Linked DNA regions of Diceros bicornis minor. The protein of the gene in region 3 interacts with the protein of the main gene of each other region in a pairwise test. Links are inferred from orthologs where the notes say so. Each region holds a gene or a part of one and is shown on either strand. Other genes may lie near its edges. The genes, in order: PLEKHB1, NRAS and RAP1GDS1.

Region 1 (7,172 bases), on a different chromosome or scaffold from region 3:
CCTGGCCCGGGGCACTGTGGACACAAAGAGGATCAAACCCAGTCCCTGCGCTTGAGGAGCTCACAGGCTAGGGCTGGTATGGGGTGGGGGAGAGGTAAAGACAGTTATATTAGGGGGGGATCTGTGCTATAACAGGGGTTTGTATGAGGCAGTGGGGAACAGAGAAAGGAGCCTCTAACCCAGCTTGGTGCTACAGCAGGGTCTGGGGTGGGGTTAGAGGAAAAGTCCGAGAAGGCTCCTCACAAAAGGGGACATCTGCGCTAGTTCTCGAAGAATAAGTAGAAGTTTACCAAGCAGTCAGGAATGGGAAGGATATTTCAGGCAGAGGGAAGAGCATGGACAAAGGAGGGGAAGATAAAAAGGGCCTGGTTTTGGGGAGAGGGTTCACTGTGGCAGGCCCAACAAGCCCCTTCCCTCACCCCTGCCCCTGGACAAGGTGCAGGACAGACAAGGGCTTGGCCCAGGGCCACTCACTCTGTCTCCACAGCCAGCCGCCCCTCACCAGGGCCATTTCTTCAAAAGGACTTTCCAGGGCGGAGTCAGGCGGGACCTGTCAGAGGAGCCACAGGACACACAGGCCTCATCAGCAGCTCCAGAGCAGCTCCCCAGAGAGAAGACAAGCCCCAGCCTCCTTGGGGGAGCCACCACGGAAACGTTTAAGGGAGTGTTGGTAGACAAACAAGGGCAAGCCTGCCTGTCTCCTCCCCATTCTCTGCTGCAGGCAGATAATGGGAGCACTGTCCTGGCGGGGCCAGCAGGGCAGCCACCCATTGTGCTCGAGTGGGGGCGGGGAGGTGAGGAGCCTGGATTCCAATCTCAGCTCCATAACCTTAGCCAAGTCCCTTCTCCCTGGCCTCCATTTCTAGATCTGTAAAAGTGTGTCTGTGAGGCAGGCAGAGGCTGGAGTGAGGCACTCTTAAAATGTTAGAAACCCTGGAACTTTGAAATGCTGGCAGCACAGAATATTAGAATCATGGCAGTGAATGAGGGACTTTCATGATAAGAAAAAGCTCCCTCACATTTCAACTCCACCTGAGCCATTTACGAAGTGCATAAAATAATAGTTCAACAGCAGCTATAACTGATTACGCACTATGTGCCAGGTACACCTCTCAGAGCTTTCATCTAGTATCTCACGGAAGCCTCACAACAATCCTTGTTATTTTTCCGGGGAAACTGGGGCCTGGAGAGGTCCTGTCACTTGCGCAGATCCGCTTGATTAGTCAGTGGTGGGGCCCGGATTCACACCCAGCAGTCCTGGCTTCTAACCATTATGCCAGAAGGAGCCTTCAAAACTCCCGATACCCAGGTCATACCCCATAACAATTAAATCAGAATGTCGGGGGGCGGGAGGCAAGCACCGAAAGTCTTTAAAGATCTCCAGGTGATTCCAATGTGCAGCAAAGTTTAGGAACCACTGACATACTATACTATCTCACCTTGCCCCCACTGTCATCCAGTTAGATGGGTAGGATCTTTACTCCTATTTTACAGATGGACAAATTGAGGCACAGCAAATGACTTGTCCAACTAGGTGATGCAGCTTGGATTGGAATCTAGATGCCCTCTGTTCCTGAGGACGATTTTCTTGCGCGTAGGTGCCTCTGCCCCTCCCCCACCTGCTCACACCTTTTGCTGCGTAGCAAGGGCTGGCACTCCAGGGCTGGAAGGCCCATCCTTGTCCCTGCTTCTCCTGCCGCTCCCTCCCCTCTGCAAGCCCTGACACAGGTCAGATAAGAGGACCAGGTCCCTCTCCAGCGCCCCCCTTGATGCACCCACCTGTCTACACCTGTTGCGGATGCTGCTGCCAAAACGCCGGCTACTTGATGCTGCTGCCACCCAACCCACTGCGCCTGCGCTTTGTGCGCCCCAGAGCGCCTGGGACATTTCACTCCCCAGGCTGCGCCCTGGGCCCCGCCCTCCGGCCCCGCCCCACCCCCAGGGAGGGGGCGGGGCGTGGAGCGATGTGCTGGCACGAGGCATGCTGGGACTTGTAGTCTGCAGCCCTAGAACTGGGCAATGGGTAGCCTTTCTTGGGTGGTAGCCCTGTGCTGACCAGGAGGACAGGTGGGAGGCTGCACCTGCGATTTCATTTTGCTCTGACATTTGTTCACTCATTTATCTTGAAATACTTTTTCCTAAGAATCTTGAACCCATTTTCTAGAAAAAAGTATGGTTGCAAGGAGAAGCCAGGCTCCTAGTTTTGCCATGTTTTCTCAATACAGTACTCAGTTTGTGCCTGGCACTGCACTGGGCGCTAGTGGAGGGCACAAAGAAGCATCTGACAAGGCCCTTTCTCCTTCCTTCCCCAGCTTCCAGTCTGGTGGGGGAGACGAAACGTAAACACAATTAGAGCACAAAGTATGATTCAACAACAGGAGAGAAGAATCTAACTTTGCCCAAGAGGTTCAGGAAGGTCTCCAGAGGAGACTTAAAGGGGTCTTGAAGGATGAGTAGGAGTTTCTCACGGGAAACCTAAGAGACTTATAAGAGCACTGGTTAGGAAGTTCAAATGAGTGTGCTGTATTTCAGTGTGTTTGGCAAGTAGAGTGCAGGTGGGGAGGGCAAGGGATGTGTCACTTGATGAAGCTGCAGGGGTTGCAAGGATATAATATGAAGGCCTTGGATGACAGGCTCAAGAGCTTGGACATTATGTCCTAGTGACTGGAGCTTGCGGGGAGGGGAGGGTTCAAGATGAGGAGTTAGGTGGTCAGATTTGTGAATTGGAAAGGTCCCTCTAGGGCATAATGGAAAATGGATCGCAGAGTGCCCAACTGGAGAAAGAAGACCGTTTCTGTATCTACCACCTTGGTCTGCCCCTCCAGGATCATTTCCTTGAATAGCTCAGCCCCACAAACCCCCACCTACAGCAGACCCAGGACTGTCATTCAGATAACAGGGCCTGTCAGGGCCTGAAAGACTCCTGGTCCCATCCCCTATTTGAGAGGGGCACCCACCCTGCCCTGGGCCCTTCCTCCTGTCCCAAACACCTCTTGCTTACCGGAGTTGCAGGGCTCATGGTTCTTGGGCGGCCAAGGCAGCATTTCCTAGAAGGTTCCTGAAGGGGGGCATTTCCCTGAGCGCCTTAGAGATAAGGGGATCAGGAAGGTCCTACCAAGTGGGAACCGGAAGTGGGGGGCACATAGAACTTTAAAAAAGTCATCCTCTCTCTCCAGTCACTCCCCAACCTCCCCGACTGATGTCTGCCTCGGACCTTCAGTTCACTGGATAACAACAAGTCATCCGTGATTCGGAGGTGGTTTTGGCCTAGCACTGCTAAGATGCCAGGGCCGCGGACTGGCCAGTCCTCCTCCCTCGGTCGAGGGCGGGGCTAAATCTGCTTTCTCCCGCCGGGCGGGACAGTGCCATCACCCCAGTCCGGGCTGCGCAGCCTGGCTCTTTAAGCTTCCCTCTCTCGCTCCTGGGTTTCTGTAATCCTGACCTCTGAGCCACCCCGGCGCTTCAACCTTTCGTGCAGTGCGTGCCTTGCTAGGGGATTCGCCACGGCCGATCCTATTAGCCACTGAGCTCATCCCCTCCGTGCAGCCCCAGGAAGCAGCTCTCCAAAACTAAGCTGTCTCCAACTCTATATCGTCTGTCTCTGGAACGTCCCACCCCTACCTTCTCCAGGCTAAATTTTCCGCCCCCACAGCAGAAAGGAGGAGGGAGGGAGGGGTGAGTGGAGCTGGCTTCAGGGAATCTGGATCCTGCCCTCTCCCTAGCTCTCCCCTGCTCCCCTCCGTGAACAACTGTTTGGCGTCCTTCATAGAGGGGTGGGGTGGGGAAGCAGTGCAGACTCCTAGATTACATTCTCTGGATTTAGCAACCAGATGAAAAAGGAAGATTCTCCAGTGGCAGTGTGGAATTTAGGGGGAAAATCCACCCTCCTCCCCCACCAAAGAGAGGGCCCTATGACAAGAAAAAGAGAAAAGGATGCTGGGAAACCACGGATGCAACTATAGAATCTAAAGGCAGCCCGACCTGGTTTATGTCTCTAAAATGTTTCTCGATGACCCTCTTTGGGAAGCTGCTGAAGGAAGTAGACTCTGCCCAGGAAAAAGATCACACACATGTCACGTTTTGCATATAATTCCTGGGAGTTCATAGACCCCTGAAGCCATAATGATTACCATTGAGAGCTGTGTTTTTAATCTCCAGTGCTGTGTAGACCAGTGGATAGAGTATGGATTAACAAGTGAGAGGTGCTGAGAGCATAGCAGGAATCCAGCTCCTGCAGTCCTGGCCTTGAGAGACTTTGTTTGTTTAATCAATTAAAATTTACTGAGATCAACAAAAATCATTGGCAGAGAGAAAAGTATGTTGCTATTTCAAATGTCCCTGGTGGATGAACAGCTCTCGGATAATACATTGTTTAGAGAATAGTGGACTGGTTTATCAAATTAAAATTCACTACTTATATTTTCTAAAGAGTATAATATAGTGAGAATAATTTGTACTATCTCTAATTACTAAAAAATCCAGAAATTTATGTCAAGATGCAATTTGAGCCGAAGTAAAATCAAGTAAAAATTTTTAAGTAATTTTAGTGAGATATAATTTATATACTATAAAATTCACTTTTTTGTGTGTGTGTGAGGAAGATCAGCCCTGAGCTAACATCCATGCCAATCCTCCTCTTTTTGCTGAGGAAGACCGGCTCTGAGCTAATATCTATTGCCAATCCTCCTCTTTATTTTTTTTTTTCCTTTTTCTCCCCAAAGCCCCAGTAGAAAGTTGTATGTCATAGTTGCACATTCTTCTAGTTGCTGTATGTGGGACGCGGCCTCAGCATGGCCAGACAAGCAGTGCGTTGATGCGTGCCCGGGATCCAAACCTGGGCTGCCAGTAGCGGAGCACACGCACTTAACCGCTAAGCCACGGGCCGGCCCTAAAGTTCTCTCTTTTAACGTGTACAGTTCAGTGTTCTAATATATTTACAAGTTGTACAACCATCATTACTATTTAATTTCAGAACATTTTCATCACCCCTAAAATAAACTCTATACTTTTTAGCAGTCACTCTTAATCCCCTTTCCCCTCAGCCCCTGGCAACCACAAATCTACTTCATCTGTATAGATTTGCCTATTCTGGACATTTCATGTAAGTGGAATCATGTAGTATGTGGCCTTTTGTAACTGGCTTCTTCCACTTAACGTTTTCAAGGCTCACCCATGTTGTAGCATGTATCAGAACTTTATTTTTTATTGACAAATAATATTCCATTGTGTGGAATTTCTTATTTACCCATTCATCAGCTGATGGACATTTGAGTGGTTTCCACTTTTCAGCTATTATAATAATGCTGCTTAAAACATTTGTTTACATGTTTTTGTGGGGACATATGTTTTCATTTGTCTTGAGTGTGATATTGTTGAGTCATACGGTAACCCGATGTTTAACATTTTGAGGAACTGTCAAACTACTTTCCAAAGTGGCTGCACCATTTTACAATCCCACCAGCAACCTATAAGAGTGCCAGTTTTTCCACATCCTCGCCAGCCCTTGTTATTGTCTGTTTTTTGATTATAGCCATCCTAGTAGGTGAGAAGTGTTATCTCATTGTGGTTTTTTTGTGTGTGTGAGGAAGACCAGACCTGAGCTAACATCTGATCCCAATCCTCTTTTTTTTGCTGAGGAAGACTGGCCCTGGGCTAACATCTGTGCTGATCTTCCTCTGCTTTATATGGGATGCCACCACAGCATGGTTTGACAAGCGGTGCATCAGTGCGCGCCTGGGATCCGAACCTTCAAACTTCAGGCCGCTGAAGCAGAGCATGAGCACTTAACCACTGTGCCACTGTGCCGGCCCCAACTCATTGTGGGTTTTATGTGTGTGTGTGTGTGTGTGTGAGGAAGATCAGCCCTGAGCTAACATCCATGCTAATCCTCCTCTTTTTTGCTGAGGAAGACCGGCTCTGAGCTAACATCTATTGCCAATCTTCCTCCTTTTTTTTTTCCCCCAAAGTCCCAGTAGATAGTTGTATGTCATAGTTGCACGTGCTTCTAGTTGCTGTATGTGGGACACGGCCTCAGCATGGCAGGAGAAGCGGTGCGTCGGTGCACGCCTGGGATCTGAACCCCTGGCTGCCAGTAGCGGAGCGTGCGCACTTAACTGCTAAGCCACGGGGCCAGCCCACATTGTGGTTTTGATTTGCATTTCCCTAATGACCAATGATGTTGAGCATCTTTTCACGTGCTTATTAGCCATTTGTAGATCTTCTTTGGAGAAATGTTTATTCTAATCTTTTGTCCACTTTTTAGTTGGGTTTTTGATTTTTTAATTGTTGAGTTGTAAAAAGTTTTTTAAAATAGAAAAAATAGATAATTAAAAAATAATTTTGGGGGCTGGCCCAGTGGCGCAAGCGGTTAAGTGCGAGCGCTCTGCTGCGGAGGCCCGGGGTTTGCCAGTTCGGATCCCGGGCGCACACCGAAGCATCGCTTGTCAAGCCATGCTATGGCGGCGTCCCATATAAAGTAGAGGAAGATGGGCTCAGAATGTTAGCCCAGGGCCAGTCTTCCTTGGCAAAAAGAGGAGGATTGGCATGGATGTTAGCTCAGGGCTGGTCCTCCTCACAAAAAAGTAATAATAATTTGGGGGGCTGGCCCTGTGGCAGAGTAGTTAAGTTTGTCCCACTCTGCTTCAGTGGTCTGGGTTCACAGGTTAGGATCCTGGACGCAGACCTACACCACTTGTCAGCCATGCTGTGGCTGCAACCCACATACAAAATAGAGAAAGATTGGCACAGATGTTAGCTCAGGGCGAATCTTCCTTAACAACAACAAGAAATAACAATAACAGTTTTGAAGAAAAAATAAATGAAATGATGGGCCGGCCCCATGGCTTAGCGGTTAAGTGCACGTGCTGCGCTATTGGTGGCCCGGGTTCGCATCCCGGGATCGCACCGACACACCACTTGTCCGGCCATGCTGAGGCTGCGTCCCACATACAGCAACTAGAAGGATGTGCAATTATGATGTACAACTATCTACTGGGGCTTTGGGGAAAAAAAAGGAGGAGTGGCAATAGATGTTAGCTCAGAGCCGGTCTTCCTCAGCAAAAAGAGGAGGATTAGCATGGATGTTAGCTCAGGGCTGATATTCCTCACAAAAAAGCAAAAAACAAAAAAAATAAAATAAAATAAATAATAAATGAAATGATGTAAGGTCACTG
Region 2 (7,561 bases), on a different chromosome or scaffold from region 3:
ACCCCCCTGCGTAGGGCCACAGTGGAGTGTGTGAAAGATCAGGTAAGTGGTGGTATCTCTGGGTCTGAGTTTGATCCTTTTATGAATTGGTAACCAAAACCTTGAAATTTTTTCAGCCAAGGGGAACCATCAGCATTCATTTGGGGGGGGGGGGTGGTGAGAGAGAGAGCAAGAGAGGAAGATTAGCCCTGAGCTAACATCTGTTGCCAATCCTCCTCTTTTTGCTCAGGAAGATTGGCCCTGGGCTAACATCCGTGCCCATCTTCCTCTACTTTATATGTGAGACACCTGCCACAGCATGGCTTGATAAGCAGTACATAGGTCCATGCCCGAGATCCATACCTGTGAACCCCAGGCTGGCCCCAACATTCATTTGATTTTTACTTCTACTTTACCCCTTTTTCAGTGATTTGAGGTAGCTTATAAAAATATGAAGAAAACCACATGAAAAGAAAAAAATGGTGATACTAGCAAGAAGAAAATAAGAGGGGTATTAATAACATTGTGTGATGAGGAAAATAAATTTGGAGTGAAAGTTGCAGAATAGAAAAACTATAAAGTTTTGTACACTTTAGCTCAGAGCTTGCAGATCACAGAAGGAAAGAAACCATGTGTAGAAGTGTTCATAAAATAAGCTTAGGCAAACAAAACTATTCCTGGTACTGAGATCTCAAGGAAATCCCTGTGAGTGCTCAAAGAGGACGTTTTTCAGTATCAGTATGGTGAAGATAACATTTTGTATGGCTGTTTCTTATGATGCCATAACCCAGCTTAATAATTCTAGAAGGAATCAAAACACTACATATGTTGTTCAAGTAACAGCTCCCTAATAATTTTGCTTGATTCAAAAACTTAGGAGCCAGCTCTGTGGCATAGTGGTTAAGTTCAACGTGCTTTGCTTCAGTGGCCCGGGTTCAGATCCCAGGCGCAGACCTACACCACTTGTCAGCCATGCTGTGGCCGCAACACACATATAAAGTAGAAGACGACTGGCACAGGTGTTAGTTCAGGGCCGGTCTTCCTCAAGCAAAAAAAAAGAGGAAGATTGGCAACAGATGTTAGCTCAGGGTGAAATGTTAGCTCAGGGTGAATCTTCCTCAGAGAAAAAAACATATGGTTCATATGATATATGAAGCCACAAGGCAACCTTTCTTTGTTTCAGTCAGGCAATAATAGAGTGAATGGCAGTAATTTCAAAGATATGTTTCTTTCCTGACAAGTTTTGCAGACCCATACGCTATTAAATTATAGCACAGACAGCTGAACTAGAGTATCAGCATTAATACGATGTTTTATAAATCTCGTTAGGGTCAGGCATGGTGCTTCATTCAGAGTGAGGTGCTTTTCCCCATTGTGGTATGCCCTTTTTTTAGCTACTGTCTTTTTTCCCTCTCCCCCCAGTTTGGCTTCATTAACTACGAAGTAGGAGATAGCAAGAAGCTCTTTTTCCATGTGAAAGAAGTTCAGGATGGCATTGAGCTACAGGCAGGAGATGAGGTGGAATTCTCAGTGATTCTTAATCAGCGCACTGGCAAATGCAGTGCTTGTAATGTTTGGCGAGTCTGGTAAGTTTTTGTCGTTGTTGGATTAGTAACCTCCCTGGACAGTCTCTTTAACTTCTGTAATTTCTGCTTTATCACATTTCGTCACTTTTTCATCACTGCTGCTTTCATCCTCTTCTGCCACTTTTTGGTTATTTCTTGATACTTCTTATGTCTTTTTTAGCTCTAGTCTTTTTTTTTTTGTGAGGAAGATCAGCCCTGAGCTAATATCCATTGCCAATCCTCCTCTTTTTTTTTTTTTTTTTTTTTTTTCTTTGCTGAGGAAGACTGACCCTGGGCTAACATCCATGCCCATCTTCCTCTACTTTATATGGGACGCCGTCACAGCATGGCTTGACAAGCGATGCATCGGTGTGCATCCGGCATCCGAACCTGCGAACCCTGAGCAGCCAAAGCAGAGCGCATGCACTTAACTGCTTGCGCCACTGGGCCGGCCCCTTTAGCTCTAGTCTTTATTGTCTAAACTTTTTAGTCTCATAAAATCTGGCCCAATGAAACATTGAGTACTTACTATATCGTAGGTCTTTTTATATAAAAGATTATGTAGTCCTTGTTCCTAAAGGATTCTGCTTAGCTCTTTTGCTTTCATTAAGCCATCTCTAGGTTATATGCTGCTAAAAATTCTGATTTTATAGTTTAGCAGTTTGACTCTGTGCTTGCGCTTTTTTTTAAGTCAATAACATTGTTACCATTAGAGGAACCAGGATATTTAACTTTTTCAAGGTTATTCACATGTGCTGCCTTGTGTCTTTGAAACTGGTCTTTTGTTGTTGCAGACCATTCTAGGGATGACCCTCACCCAACTGATTCTTCTAGCTCCTACACAGTAGTAAACCTTGACTTGGGAATAAAAACATAAACTTGTCTGTCCTGTCTTGCTAGCTTGCTGGCTAGATGAGGCAAGAGTCCCCCCTCATTAAAACTGAGTCATTTGAATAGTTAGGTAGAAAACACACTCCTCTCTAAGTACTTGCTTTCTTCTCACCTCTTGACTTTGTTACAGTGAGGGCCCCAAGACTGTTGCAGCTCCACGACCTGATAGGTTGGTCAATCGCTTGAAGAACATCACCTTGGATGATGCCAGTGCTCCTCGCCTAATGGTTCTTCGTCAGCCAAGGGGACCAGATAACTCAATGGTATGAGGTCATGCAAGGTTGTGGGTGGGGTAGCAACTGACAGACCAACATACTACTTGATGTCCTATTTCGGCATAGCTCAGAGGGCTTAATGAAGCAAGGAGCTTCAGTATTGCTTCTAGCTAGTTAGGACTCCCTCCATATTGATTGAGCCCGTAACATAAATGGTTGCTCACAATAAAAGGCACATTTCTTGGCTTTCCTGATACTTTGAACATATAGTTCAGGTAAAAGATCAGGAGGGCTTATTATAGATTTCCTCCTCGGGGAAAAAATTGGTGGTGATTACGATGATTAAAAGCAATGCTTTTGTAGTTCATTTTGAAATTGTGAATGTACTGTGATTGTCATGTACCCAGGTTATTAACTGCAATTTTATTTCTTCACAGGGATTTGGTGCAGAAAGAAAGATCCGTCAAGCTGGTGTCATTGACTAACCACATCCACAAAGCACATCATTAATCCACTATGATCAAGTTGGGGGGATTCTGGTGAAGGGTTCTGAATATCTCCCTCTTCATCCCTCCTAAAATCTGGAATACTTATTCTATTGAGCTATTACACCAGTTTTAACACCTTCCTCGTGTTATGTTTAAAAAAATAAATAAATTTAAGAAAACCATTTTAAAATTATGCACAGTTGCAGCCTGGAAAACTTAAGGTGGCGCCTTATATATCAATTTTAGGAGCTTTATTTGGTGCATTTAACGCAACTGGTAATTGCAAAATCCACTTTGCCTGTGTAAGTGAAAAATATAGACTGTTATCTTGTTGGCCCTGTGAAATTCTGCACTTCATATTTAGTATATACTCTACCTTCATTACTTCTGGCAAGATGTTCTGCCTTAGCACTCAGTTGCGTTCTTTTCCTTTCCTGTTCATTATGCTTTAATTCTGAGGACCATATGAGGGTAGAATATATTAAAAATTACAAAAATTTGTGTAGGCAAACCATTTCCTTAAGTTGATGGCCAAATGTTAAAATGTTATTTTTCATATCATTTATAATCTTGTCACAGTCCACTTAACGAAGTTTGGTTAGATTTCAGTGAAAATTATCTTCCAGAGTAGTTTTTTTTCCTAGGATGGGGGGGTAACTTGACTACAATTAGTATGTATGGTGCAGAATTTCATGCAAATAAGGTGTGCCAGCAGTGTGATAATTTAAACGTATTTAAACAAAAACAAAAAGACGAATGCACAAACTTGCTGCTGCTTAGATCACTGCAGCTTCTAGGACCCAGTTTCTTTTACTGATTTAAAAACAAAAAAATAAAATAAAAAAGTTGTGCCTGAAATGAATCTTGTTTTTTTTGTAAGTAGCCGCCTGGTTCCTGTGTCCTGTAAAATACAGACACTTGACCTTTGGTGTAGCTTCTGTTCAACTTTATATCACGGGAATGGATTGATTTCTTGGCCCTCATGTTGAATTGGCCACATACAGGGTCCCTGGCCAGTGGACTGAAGGCTTTGTCTAAGATGAAAAGGGTCAGCTCAGGGGATGTGGGGGAGGGCGCTTTTATCTTCCCCGTTGTCGTTTGAGGTTTTGATCTTCTCTGGGAAAGAGGCCATTTATCTTTGTAAACACGAAACATTTTTGCTTTCTCCAGTTTTCTGTTAATGGCGAAAGAATGGAAGCGAATAAAGTTTTACTGATTTTTGAGACACTAGCACCTAGCGCTTTCATTATTGCAACGTCCTGTGTGGGAGGGGAGGGTCTGGGTGCGGCCTGCCGCATGACTCCCGGGTTGGAAGCCCACGTGGCCGGGGCGGGGCCTCGGGCGTCCTGCGCGCCGACTGATTACGTAGCGGGCGGGGCCGGAAGTGCCGCTCCCTGGTGGGGGCTGTTCATGGCGGTTCCGGGGTCTCCAACATTTTTCCCGGCTGTGGTCCTAAATCCGTACGAAGCGGAGGCAGCGGAGCTTGAGGTAGGTCTCTGGCGTGTGTAGCATTCGGCTTTGGAGCATACAGGCGTCTCGTTATTGCCAGAAATCGAGCGGAATCTGCGAGCTGCAAACAAAGGCCCTGGGCGGGGGTCCTTCGTTTTGAGCCCTACGGGGAAGATGTTTAGAGATGGGCCGGGGAGTAGTAAGGGGGAGCGACCTGGAGGCCTCCTCCTAGAGCTGGGAAGACTTGCGGGAGGAATAGAAGGGGGGGTTTCCTTTACCTGAGGCTGAGGGCGGGGCCCAAGGACTGTTGAAACATAGACGAGGGTGGGGGTAGCTAGAAGACTATAATCCAGAATTCTGAGGCCCACAGTAACCTGCAAGTGCTTTTTGGCATTCCTGAATCATTTTGAGAACCAAGTGGCGGTGACGTGTATGGAACCGATACATTTCAAATTCTGGTTTTAGTTACTATTGATTATAGGGAAAGCTTTGAAGTACTGTAGATGTGGCTCGCCAGTTAACCCTAATTGATGCTTTCCGACAGGTTCTTGCTGGTGTGAAATGACTGAGTACAAACTGGTGGTGGTTGGAGCAGGTGGTGTTGGAAAAAGCGCACTGACAATCCAGCTAATCCAGAACCACTTTGTTGATGAATATGATCCCACCATAGAGGTGAGGCCCAGTGGTAGCCTGCTGACTCCACCTCTGCGGTTTTACCCTTACCCATACCCTTTTGCTGTTCTTTACCTAAAGGAGTAATCAGGAGAGAAAGTAAAAAGTGATTTTGGGTACTGCGTTGAGTAATACAATAAGTAAAGCTGGAATGTTTGTGGAGAAGAGTTCATTTTTATTAGCTGCTGAAGATTTTCTAAAAAGTTTACAATTTTTAACACTTATGTAAACTATTGCAAATTTAGTGTTGAACTCAGTTTCTTCATATATGACAACTCTGTTAAAAAGAAACACAGTCCATAGGTAGAGGGACTGTCTGAATAATAGCAGGATGGAAATAAAGGGTTCAGAGATCTGGGTATTCTGCAATTTTCATTTCTTAGCTAGTTGAAGCAGCTGAGAGTGTGGGTTGGTGTAGAAAGAGCGTGAGATTTTGAACCGCTTTGCCTAGGATTTCAGTCCCTGTTTGCAGTTTATTTAGTTATGTGATGTTGAGCAAATTACTTAATCTCTCTGAGCCTCATTTTCCTGATCTATTAAATTACCATAAATTTGTTCTGCCTACCACACACGGATATTGTGAAAAATCAAATAATATCTTTAAATTTTTTGTGAATGGTGAAGTGCTGCATAAATAGTATTTATTTAAAGATTATTTTGTTTTCATGGGAGTTTGTTATAGATTAGCTTCAATAAATGGCATCTAGTGTCCTTTAAATAAAAGGTTTTAAAAGGTTTTGTAATTTTATTCAGTTTAGAAATGTCTAACTCTAAAGATTATTTTCTTTTAATCTACACCCTGCTCTTCCTACCACCCAGCTACTGAGTGTTTAATTAATGCAAGCTAACTCTAATATAGCCATTATTAAAAAATTACTCATTAGTCCTGGGCAAAAATCTTTATTTTAGGCTTAACAGCTTTAGTGTTAATAGTTAGAAACTTTTAATATTTTTTGGAGTTTTATTTATTGAGAGGTAATTTACATACAGTAAAATACTTCGGTGATTTATTAAATTTATATACACTTAACGTAACCACCACTCAGATAAAAGTATAGACTATTTTTAATGCCCCAGAGAGTTCTCCCATGCCCCTTTCCAGTCAATAAACTCCCCCACCCTGTCAGGAAATAACCACTTCTCTGCCTTCTATTATCATAAATTCATTTGACTAAAACCTATCTTTATAATTTTAATTTTGCTCATTTCCTCGGAGCACTCATACACTTAACCATATTTCATGCCTCAAGGAAGTTCTGGCAATGTGAATTCTATGTTAATTTGAAAGTATGTTGCAAGTGAGTTACAGAGGAACTGATCAATAGGCTGGGAAATTAGGTTGAGTTTTGTTTCTAGAGCCAGATCTTGACTAAGTGTGATGAGGTTATTTTCTTTGAATTCCCAGAACATAAGTATTAAAATACAAGTAAAATTTTTGTCTTAGAGCCAGATTGAAAAAAATTTTTTATATGATCTATGCATGTCTGTCTTCCTGAGGAATTTAGTTATACCTATACCTTGTTTGGAACCTTTAGGAATTTGATTGAGGAATATTTCCCAAAGGTACAGTCTGTCATGATGAGAAAAATATTTTGGTATTATAACCTTGTCTGAAATAAAAAGTATTTGTGTATTTAGTCATAAACACAAATGACACTGTATCCAAAGCCAGATTATAATTAGTGGAGGTATGTTTAGAATTTTAAATGTACCATAAACAACTAAAACAGGACAAGTCCAGTTCATACCTTAGTAAAGTACAATGTGAACCTAATCTCTAGTCTAATTGCAGTAGAGCTGTCTTTTGAAGTACCACATATTTTTCACCTTTTCCAGGAACAGAGTGACCACATTTTCCTTTCTGCAGGCGTATAGGATTTGGGGCTTTTTTCCTAGGGTGACATTAAGTACTTTCTGTTTGTGATTATATATTCACAGTTTGAGGGACAAATCAGAGAGACAGAAATGGACTTGGTTAGGAGCTTATTTAATCTTGGCAATAGCATTGCATTCCCTGTGGTTTTTAATAAAAATGGAATCTCCCTCTCTCCCCACCACCTCACCGTCCACATCCTCAGGATTCTTACCGAAAACAGGTGGTTATAGATGGTGAAACCTGTCTGTTGGACATACTGGATACAGCTGGACAAGAGGAGTACAGTGCCATGAGAGACCAATACATGAGGACAGGCGAAGGCTTCCTCTGTGTATTTGCCATCAATAATAGCAAGTCATTTGCAGACATTAACCTCTACAGGTACTAGGAGCATTATTTTTTCTGAAAGGATGATCTTTAAGTGTG
Region 3 (7,535 bases):
TTTAGGGAGAGACTTTAAAAATAGACTGGGCCTACTCTTGTTTTGCCTGATAGGTACTTATACCTATGTCTTGTAGCACCTACCACAGTGCTGAGCTCAGAAGAGATGCTTGAGAAGTACTCAACTGATTTCGAAATGTTTTGTACCATCTAAAAAATGTTGTTTGCAATATGTAGACATTAATCCGTTTGAGGTGACAGACAATGAAAAAAGAAAACTTAGATTTCATAAGATTTAGAAAATGGTTAATATGGTAAGTAAATGGGGGAGATGGATGGTGTTACAGCAAGCTAGAGGTTAAGACATTTTGGTTGTTCAACCTAGACTAGCCTAACCTCACTGAGACCTTTTAAAATAAAGACTTTAGAGAACACTGTCCACTGCCAAATCATTTTTTATTGCTGCAAAGTTCAGTTAACTACCCCATTGAGATTCCCTTAAATGATATTCAGAACACCATGGTGAAGAAGAGGCAATCAGTTCCCTATTATTCTTTTAAAGAACATTCTCTCTGTTCTCTTTCTACTTCCTCTTGCTCTGCCCCTCCCAATATATTTCCTTTAAAGAATTTAAATCACCTTCTAACCTCTTTAAAGTTACACGCATCAATGAGGTAAGTTATGTTATAAACCTTGCCAAAAATGTAGTGTTTCTCATTCTTTCTAATAAACATTTTCCTTGATACTTGCCCCCCTATCCCTACCATAGCTATTTGGCTAATCATAAACCAATTTTCAACAGTAACTTGTTATTCAAATAAATCTGTGATACTTTACAAATATATTTTCTAGATAGAATTTGAAAACATGTGCACTGGGCCAGAATTTCCTCCTTTATTTTGTAGCAGGCCTAATCAGGTCCTGACCATTGCCTAACACGGAGCACAGGCACTAGATTTATTTCTGGAAAACTCTTTTGACATCAGGTGAATATTTTCTAGTCTATTTATGTGATCAATGACTAGAAGCATCATCAAAGCAATTTTTCTAATACTTTTTTTTTTTTTTTGAGGAAGTTTGGCTCCAAGCTAACATCTATTGCCAATATTCCTCTTCTTTTTTCTCCCCAAAGCCCCAGTACATTAATTGTATATCCTAGTTGTAGGTCCTTCTGGTTCCTCTATGTGGGACACTGTCTCAGCATGGCTTGATAAGCAGTGAGCAGGTCCATGCCCAGGATCTGAATTGGGGAATCCCGGGTTGCTGAAGCGGAACGTGGGAACCCAACCTCTACACCACTGGGCAACCCCCCCAAAGTTTTTTGAGGGCAGGGGCCATAGTTTGTTCTTTATCCCTAGTGCCTATCATAGTGCCTGATACACAGTAGGCGCTCAGTAAGTCTGCCTTGACTGACTGAGTGAATAAACTAGTACCAAGTCTAGTGTCCACCCAGTAGGGGACTCATAGTTTAAGATAGAAACAACACAGATAGCAGCTGTCATCGTCATCATTATAAATATTTATTGAGCAACTAATTTTACTTGAGGTGCTAGAGTTTATAAAAAGAATATTAACAACATTCTTGCTCTCTTTCAGGATAAAAACTCTGCAAGGATGAAAAGACTTTCATTGACACAAATTTTTATTGAGCACTTGCTACATGCTAGCACTGTTCTGGTCCTGGGGATATAACAGCAAATAAGGCAGACAAAATCCCTGCCCTTGGGGAGTTTAAATTTAAATGGGGGTGACATCCAATAAGCAAAATATATATTATCTTAGTGATAAGTGCTAAGGAAACAAAGTAGGGAACTGGGGATGGGGAGTGGGAGTGTCGAAATGTTAGATAAAATGGCTAGGGAAGGCCTCATGCAGGTAACTTTTAAATAAAAGATGAAGAAAGAAAAAAGAGTAAAGATGTAAGGAAATGTTATATTCCTATAATAGGAGAAAGGGGAGGGGAGGGGAACTAGTGTTGTGCATGAAAGGGGTAGGTGTTACATGGGTCCACTTCTGCATGTAGCAGCTGGTACTGGGTCTCACTACCGTTGCACACCAGTGCATGGGGACTCACTGTACGCTGCACTCCTGAACAGTCCTGTGGTTTTAATTGGCAGGAAGGTTGAGAGGATGGTTTATGGATTCAATCAGAGCAAAAAAGGCACTTAAACTAGTGTCATGTGGAAAGTCACAAAGCTGCTTCAGCTGCTTTTGCCGGTTTCAATTCACACACCCAAATGAAGGATAGAAGATGCTCTTAGAAGTTACTGTAATATATAATTAGAAAAGTTACTGTAATATATAATTAGAAAAGGAAGTAGCAGGAAAAGTGAAGCAAGTGAACTTGAGAATCTGAGATTAATGAAGGTTAAGGAAAGAGAAAAAGGGACAAAACACGAGGAGCAGCAATAGAAAGGCCCCAGGGTGGTCTTCTGGAGAGGTCAAAAATGAACGTGGAACATGTTAGGGGTGTGCGTGTGGGTGTGTGTGTGTAGCTTGCGTTGGTATACTACAGATTGAAGCATGTCCCCTGCAAATTCATATGTTGAAGTCTAAACCCCAGTATCTCAGAATGTGACCTTATTTGGAGTAGGGTTACTGCAGATGTAATTAGTTAATGAGGTCATACCAGAGTATGTGGGGCCCTAATCTTACTGGTGTCCTTATAAAAAAGGAAAATTTGAACAGACGTGAGGTTGGAGTTACGCTGCCACAAGCCAAGGACCTACCAGAAGCTAGGGGAGGCCTGGAAGGGATCCTTCCTTCGTGCCTACAGAGGGAGCACGGCCCTGCCAACACTTTGATTCCAGACTTCTGGCCTCTAGAACTGTGAGACCAGCCGTTTCTGTTGTTCTAAACCACCCAGTTTGTGGTACTTTGTTACAGCAGCTCCAGGAAAGTAATTCCGCTGTGACAGGTTTTGAGGCAAGGAAGAGCATCCTTATATCACAGAAGGAAGGAGAGTAGTAGAAGAGCGAGGTGACTGTCTTGCGCATCATAAAAGTCTAATAGCTTTTACTTCTGTAGTTTGTCTTTTGTTTCACCAAATCTTTTTTTAATTATTTTGTTTCATTTGTTTTAGAAAAGTCGCATAAAATCTGCTCTCTGCTTAACAAACAAGGCCCATTCTGACTTGTGTGCTTCTAGCATCAGTCATACAAAAGGAAACTAATCTGACTATAAGAAGGGGCCACGGACGAAGGGAGGGATAAAAGCGCCTTTTCTTAACCTTGGTTTGAAAGTAAAAGTTGAAAGGGAAAGAAACCTGATTCAGCTCTTCTACACCCCTCGCCACCCCCACAGGCTGCGCTGCTGACTGCGGCCCTGGCCCCCGCAGGACTGCGGTCGCTGCGGGAGAGCGACCTGAGTCCTCACCCCAACGACCGAGGTCCCGAGGTCAGGGCAAGGCCAGGACGCTAAGAGACGGCAGGCTGCCCCCAGCCCCTCCCCCGGGCAGAGGACCGGTAACACCAACCCCACGCGCGCATGCCCGGTCGGGACGGCGCCCTGGACGGGGAGCGCCCTGCCCCGGTTTCCCCGCGCGGGGCAGGGCCGGACTTGTATTTCCTGCCGCGTTAAAGGGAGCGGGCGGGGTGGCACCTCCCGGCAGGGTGGAGGCGGAGGCCGAGGGCACCCTTGCGCAGAGGCTTGTCCGGCGTCCTCAGGGAACGGAAGGCCGCGCCCCTCTGGGCGGGGAACGAGACACTCCCCGAGGAGACCCTGGGGCAGTCGCTCTTCCCGGCTGCCGGACCTCTGTTTCTAAACTGGCCACTGCCAGGACAGCCTGAACTGTGCACCGACCCGCCAGCTGACATGACGCGCCCTCCCAGCGGCCACCTCGCTGCTCAGTGCCCGGCGGGCCACGGGCTGCTCTGAGAACCGGCGTCCCTGGGCATCCATCTCCACGAGGCGCTGGCCTCTGGCCTCCGTCGTTCCCGCTTCGTGTCAGGACGGCCACTCTGCTTCCCCACCTCCCCGGGCTGAGGCGGTGCGCGGCTCCTCTGGGAGATTCCCGCCTGTGCAGCGGGTTGTCCCATAATGAACACGGCCCCTTTTCCGGGTATGGGTTGGCGGGGTCGGGGTAGCACGCCTGGGGCGAGCCGGATGGGAGCAGTCCGGGCTCAGGATCCCCGGCTCGTGCCTCCTCAGGGCCCACCTTCAGGCCCTCAGGCGGTCGCCATCAACCTCCTCCGCGGCGGCTGCACGCCCACTCGCACGCTCAGATTCGCCGGTCACGGGGAGCGAGGCACTGAGCATGCTCGGTGGGGTGGGCGGGGCGTTCGGGGCGCGCGTCGGGCGGGCGCTCCTCAGGCCGCCTCGGCACCTCCGCCGCCCGCCGGCTCCGAGCCGCGCCCGCCGCAGGCCGCGCCCGCCTGCCCGCCCCGCCCCGCCCCGCCCCCCGCCGCTCGTCCCCGCCGCGGCCGCGCCGCCTGCAGCAGCAGCAGCAGCAGCAGCAGCAGCAGCTGCTCCTCCCCGGCAGCCGCCCCCCGCGGGTCCTTCCCTGGCTGCGAGAGAGACGGAGGTGGAGGGAGGACGCAGCGCCGCGCCGCCCGCGCCGGAGACCTTCGCCTCGCCCCGGCTCCTCACCGTCTGGGAGGAACATGGGTAAGTCATCCTTCCTCCCCCGTCATCGCCTGACATTTTTCTCTCTCTCGGTGTGTTGCAGGGTGGGAGGCATTCCTCGCGCAAAGTTGCCGGATTTCTCAAATCCTCGGGTGCGAGACGCGGCCCTTCCTCGGGGAGAGTGGGCGCACGCGGGGCGCACGCCCGGTCGCGGGCGCGGGGTGCGGTCGGGCCGCGGGCTCCGCGCCGCCTCCTCCCCTCCTCCATTCTTCCTGCAAGCCGGTGCCGGCCCCGCCAGCCGGCCTCGCGGGCTCCCGCCGCCCCGCCGCGCCGCTCCGGGGGCCGCCCGCGGGCAGACCGCTTCACGGAACTGCCCACCTCCACCTTTGCGCGTCGTGGGGATGCGCGTCCCGAGGCGGGCACGTGTGAGCGAGTAGTTTGTGAGGCGGTGTTACAACCTGCACAGAAGTAATTTTCGGTGGGGGAGAGCGGACAGCCTCATAGGTTGAAAGGATGACTTGTCAGAGGCCACGAGGAGCGTGAGGAAGGATGCGTGAGCCGCTGGCCGTTGAGTTAGCGTCGGGTGGCCGGGGCGTGCGGTATTCCCGTGCTCAGCCGGTTTCCTGGGTTCCTTCGCCTGTGCTGTAGCAGGAGGCTGCACCCTCTGCCATGGTACCGCACTTACGTGTTAGTACTCTTTCCCAGCTCCCGCTGCCCAAATCTACATAATCTGATTTTAGTTCCTTTGTATTTATAGTTAATCTCAAGAGATTGGTTTGGATGAGACATTTAAAAGCAAATAGGTCCTATAAAACTACACGTAATTAATCCTAAATTTTTTCATAATATATTGCTTCACTGTTAAGTTTAGTAAGTACAAAAATATCTGATGAATTCTGTAATGTAATTAAAATCCAAAAGTTTTTTTTAAATAATAGCATTTGAACCACACTTCTACATGTTCCCCAGTTTGTTTCCCCCCTTGTCCATCATAAATTCCTCTTTTTAGAATGTGTTCCGTTAGCGTCTGTCAACTCGGACTTTTCCCACCCCTTCTGTGCAAGTTATTTTAAGCTTGAGATGAGTGTGGTCCTTTCATCTGTCAATACAGTGTTCAACACGTCCAGGATTAGGTCATGGCAACTCAGAATCTTCAAGGAAGCATCTAAATCAAGAAATAGGGTCGATGGAGCTTACTTGAAAAGCAGATGCTTCAAGCTCTGATTCAAACCTTTAGCCATGTATTGAGAAGAGGCCAGTGTTGCAGGAGGAGGTGGTGTGTATACAAAATGAATCCCGGGCCTTGAATTCTATTTTCAGTTGTTCATTTTTTTTCCTTTTGATGTACTATTGGTATGCTGAACAAATTTCTGTAAAAATTGGGTGGCCCATTTACATGTATCTAGTTTTTCTCTAGGAGTAGAATTTTGGATAAATATTAATTATTGGACACATTGTATCTTTCCCTTGAACAACCAAAAATTTTCTTCCTAATTATAGGCCACAGGTTTGGCCTGTAAAATACATTTCCAATGTTTCAAGGTGAGCTAAAAAAATCTATTTAACTAAAATTTTAACTTACATGTTGAATCAGTACCTTTTCAGTAGGAAAAAATCCAATTCTGTGTGATACTAGTGAATAAAAATACTTAAAACAAATGAAATTATTTACTTAAAACTAATAAATCTTGAATGTTATTGCTTGATTTCAAAAAAAGGCCAAATAGAAACTGATCTCTCATTTGAAGCTTCTCAGATACTCGGATTAAATTAATCTCTCTCCCCTCACAGGGCTCTGTTTGTACCTTGTTGGAAGCTTTTTAGCACTTACATAATCTGTCTTATAATGGAGTTGTTTATGTGTGTGTTGTGTGTTTAATCATGAGTTCCAGAGGATGAAAATTATGTCATATTAATTTTTGTGTTCCCCACAGTGCTTTCCACATAGTAGGGATTCAGTAAATCTTTGGTAAATTAATTGTTGAACCTAAAACCTGTTATTTTCAGCTTGTGAACCTGAACGTTGGGCTCTGAACAAACATTTGAGTTGATAGTTATAATGGAGGTGTGGAGGAGCAGGAACAGAGAAGTATAATTATATTATGATTGCTCTTCTCTCTAAAAAAAAAAACTTGGGTTGTCTCAGAGATATGGGTTTTGGGGCAGCCTCCAGGCGAGCCATTTCCTTCTACACTGCTGTTTTCAGTGGTAAGGCGGTTTAGTGTATGATCAGTAGGTACATACAATAATGTAAAATTGAAGCAATGTTCTGAGCCGAGGAAGTTATAACAATTCATATATACATAAAGGGTATACTGATTAATGGTAGGAGAAAAAAATCACTTTTTAATGTCTTTTCAAGAAATAAATAAGGTGATTTTTTAAAAAGATATTCTCATGGCAGTGATGTTTCTCCATAAGAAAATGAAGGATGGGCCCGCCCCGTGGCTTAGCGGTTAAGTGCGCACGCTCCAATACTGGCAGGCCCGGGTTTGGATCCCGGGTGCGCACGGATGCACCGCTTCTCCGGCCATGCTGAGGCCGCATCCCACACACAGCAACTAGAAGGATGTGCAACTATGACATACAACTATCTACTGGGGCTTTGGGGGGAAAAAAAAAGGAGGAGGAGTGGCAATAGATGTTAGCTCAGAGCCGGTCTTCCTCAGAAAAAGAGGAGGATTAGCATGGATGTTAGCTCAGGGCTGATCTTCCTCACAAAAAAAAAAAAGAAAGTGAAGGAAACTTCCTGTATAATCTTATGGACCATGGCTATTATGTTATGTATATATTTTACCATAAGTTCAGCATATATTTAATATTGAATATCAACCATGTGCAATATACTGTGGGAGGACAAAGATGAATAAGACATTCATATTTCAAGTTGCTTATAATCTTAATAGGAACAATATGACACACACAGATAACTATAATAGAAATAAAGTATAAGTGATATGAAAGACTTTTACATATATTATAGATTCAGAGGATGGAGAGAAGGTTTTAGAAAAATGATGTTATTTAAACCAA

The links.
Region 1: the proteins of RAP1GDS1 (region 3) and PLEKHB1 interact in binary tests that used the Homo sapiens proteins (3 or more experiments, as listed by UniProt). The two-hybrid records come from large-scale screens. The link is inferred for Diceros bicornis minor from reciprocal best matches to the Homo sapiens genes RAP1GDS1 and PLEKHB1.
Region 2: the proteins of RAP1GDS1 (region 3) and NRAS interact in binary tests that used the Homo sapiens proteins (3 or more experiments, as listed by UniProt). The link is inferred for Diceros bicornis minor from reciprocal best matches to the Homo sapiens genes RAP1GDS1 and NRAS.

What each region holds. Positions count from the first base shown.
Region 1 is NC_080746.1:57,229,270-57,236,441, forward strand, and holds the start of PLEKHB1 (pleckstrin homology domain-containing family B member 1), read right to left. Parts: upstream 3,054-7,172; 5' UTR 3,020-3,053; coding exon 3,002-3,019; intron 1,856-3,001; exon of another isoform or gene 1,780-1,855; intron 551-1,779; coding exon 475-550; intron 1-474.
Region 2 is NC_080743.1:47,359,874-47,367,434, reverse strand, and holds the start of NRAS (GTPase NRas), read left to right. Parts: upstream 1-4,521; 5' UTR 4,522-4,626; intron 4,627-5,131; 5' UTR 5,132-5,148; coding exon 5,149-5,259; intron 5,260-7,337; coding exon 7,338-7,516; intron 7,517-7,561. Other genes in the region: CSDE1 (cold shock domain-containing protein E1), read left to right, coding at 1-42, 1,402-1,565, 2,566-2,698, 3,088-3,135. UniProt on the Homo sapiens protein: Ras proteins bind GDP/GTP and possess intrinsic GTPase activity.
Region 3 is NC_080747.1:81,218,562-81,226,096, forward strand, and holds the start of RAP1GDS1 (rap1 GTPase-GDP dissociation stimulator 1), read left to right. Parts: upstream 1-4,486; 5' UTR 4,487-4,540; coding exon 4,541-4,544; intron 4,545-7,535. UniProt on the Homo sapiens protein: Acts as a GEF (guanine nucleotide exchange factor) for the Rho family of small GTP-binding proteins (G proteins) that stimulates the dissociation of GDP to enable subsequent binding of GTP.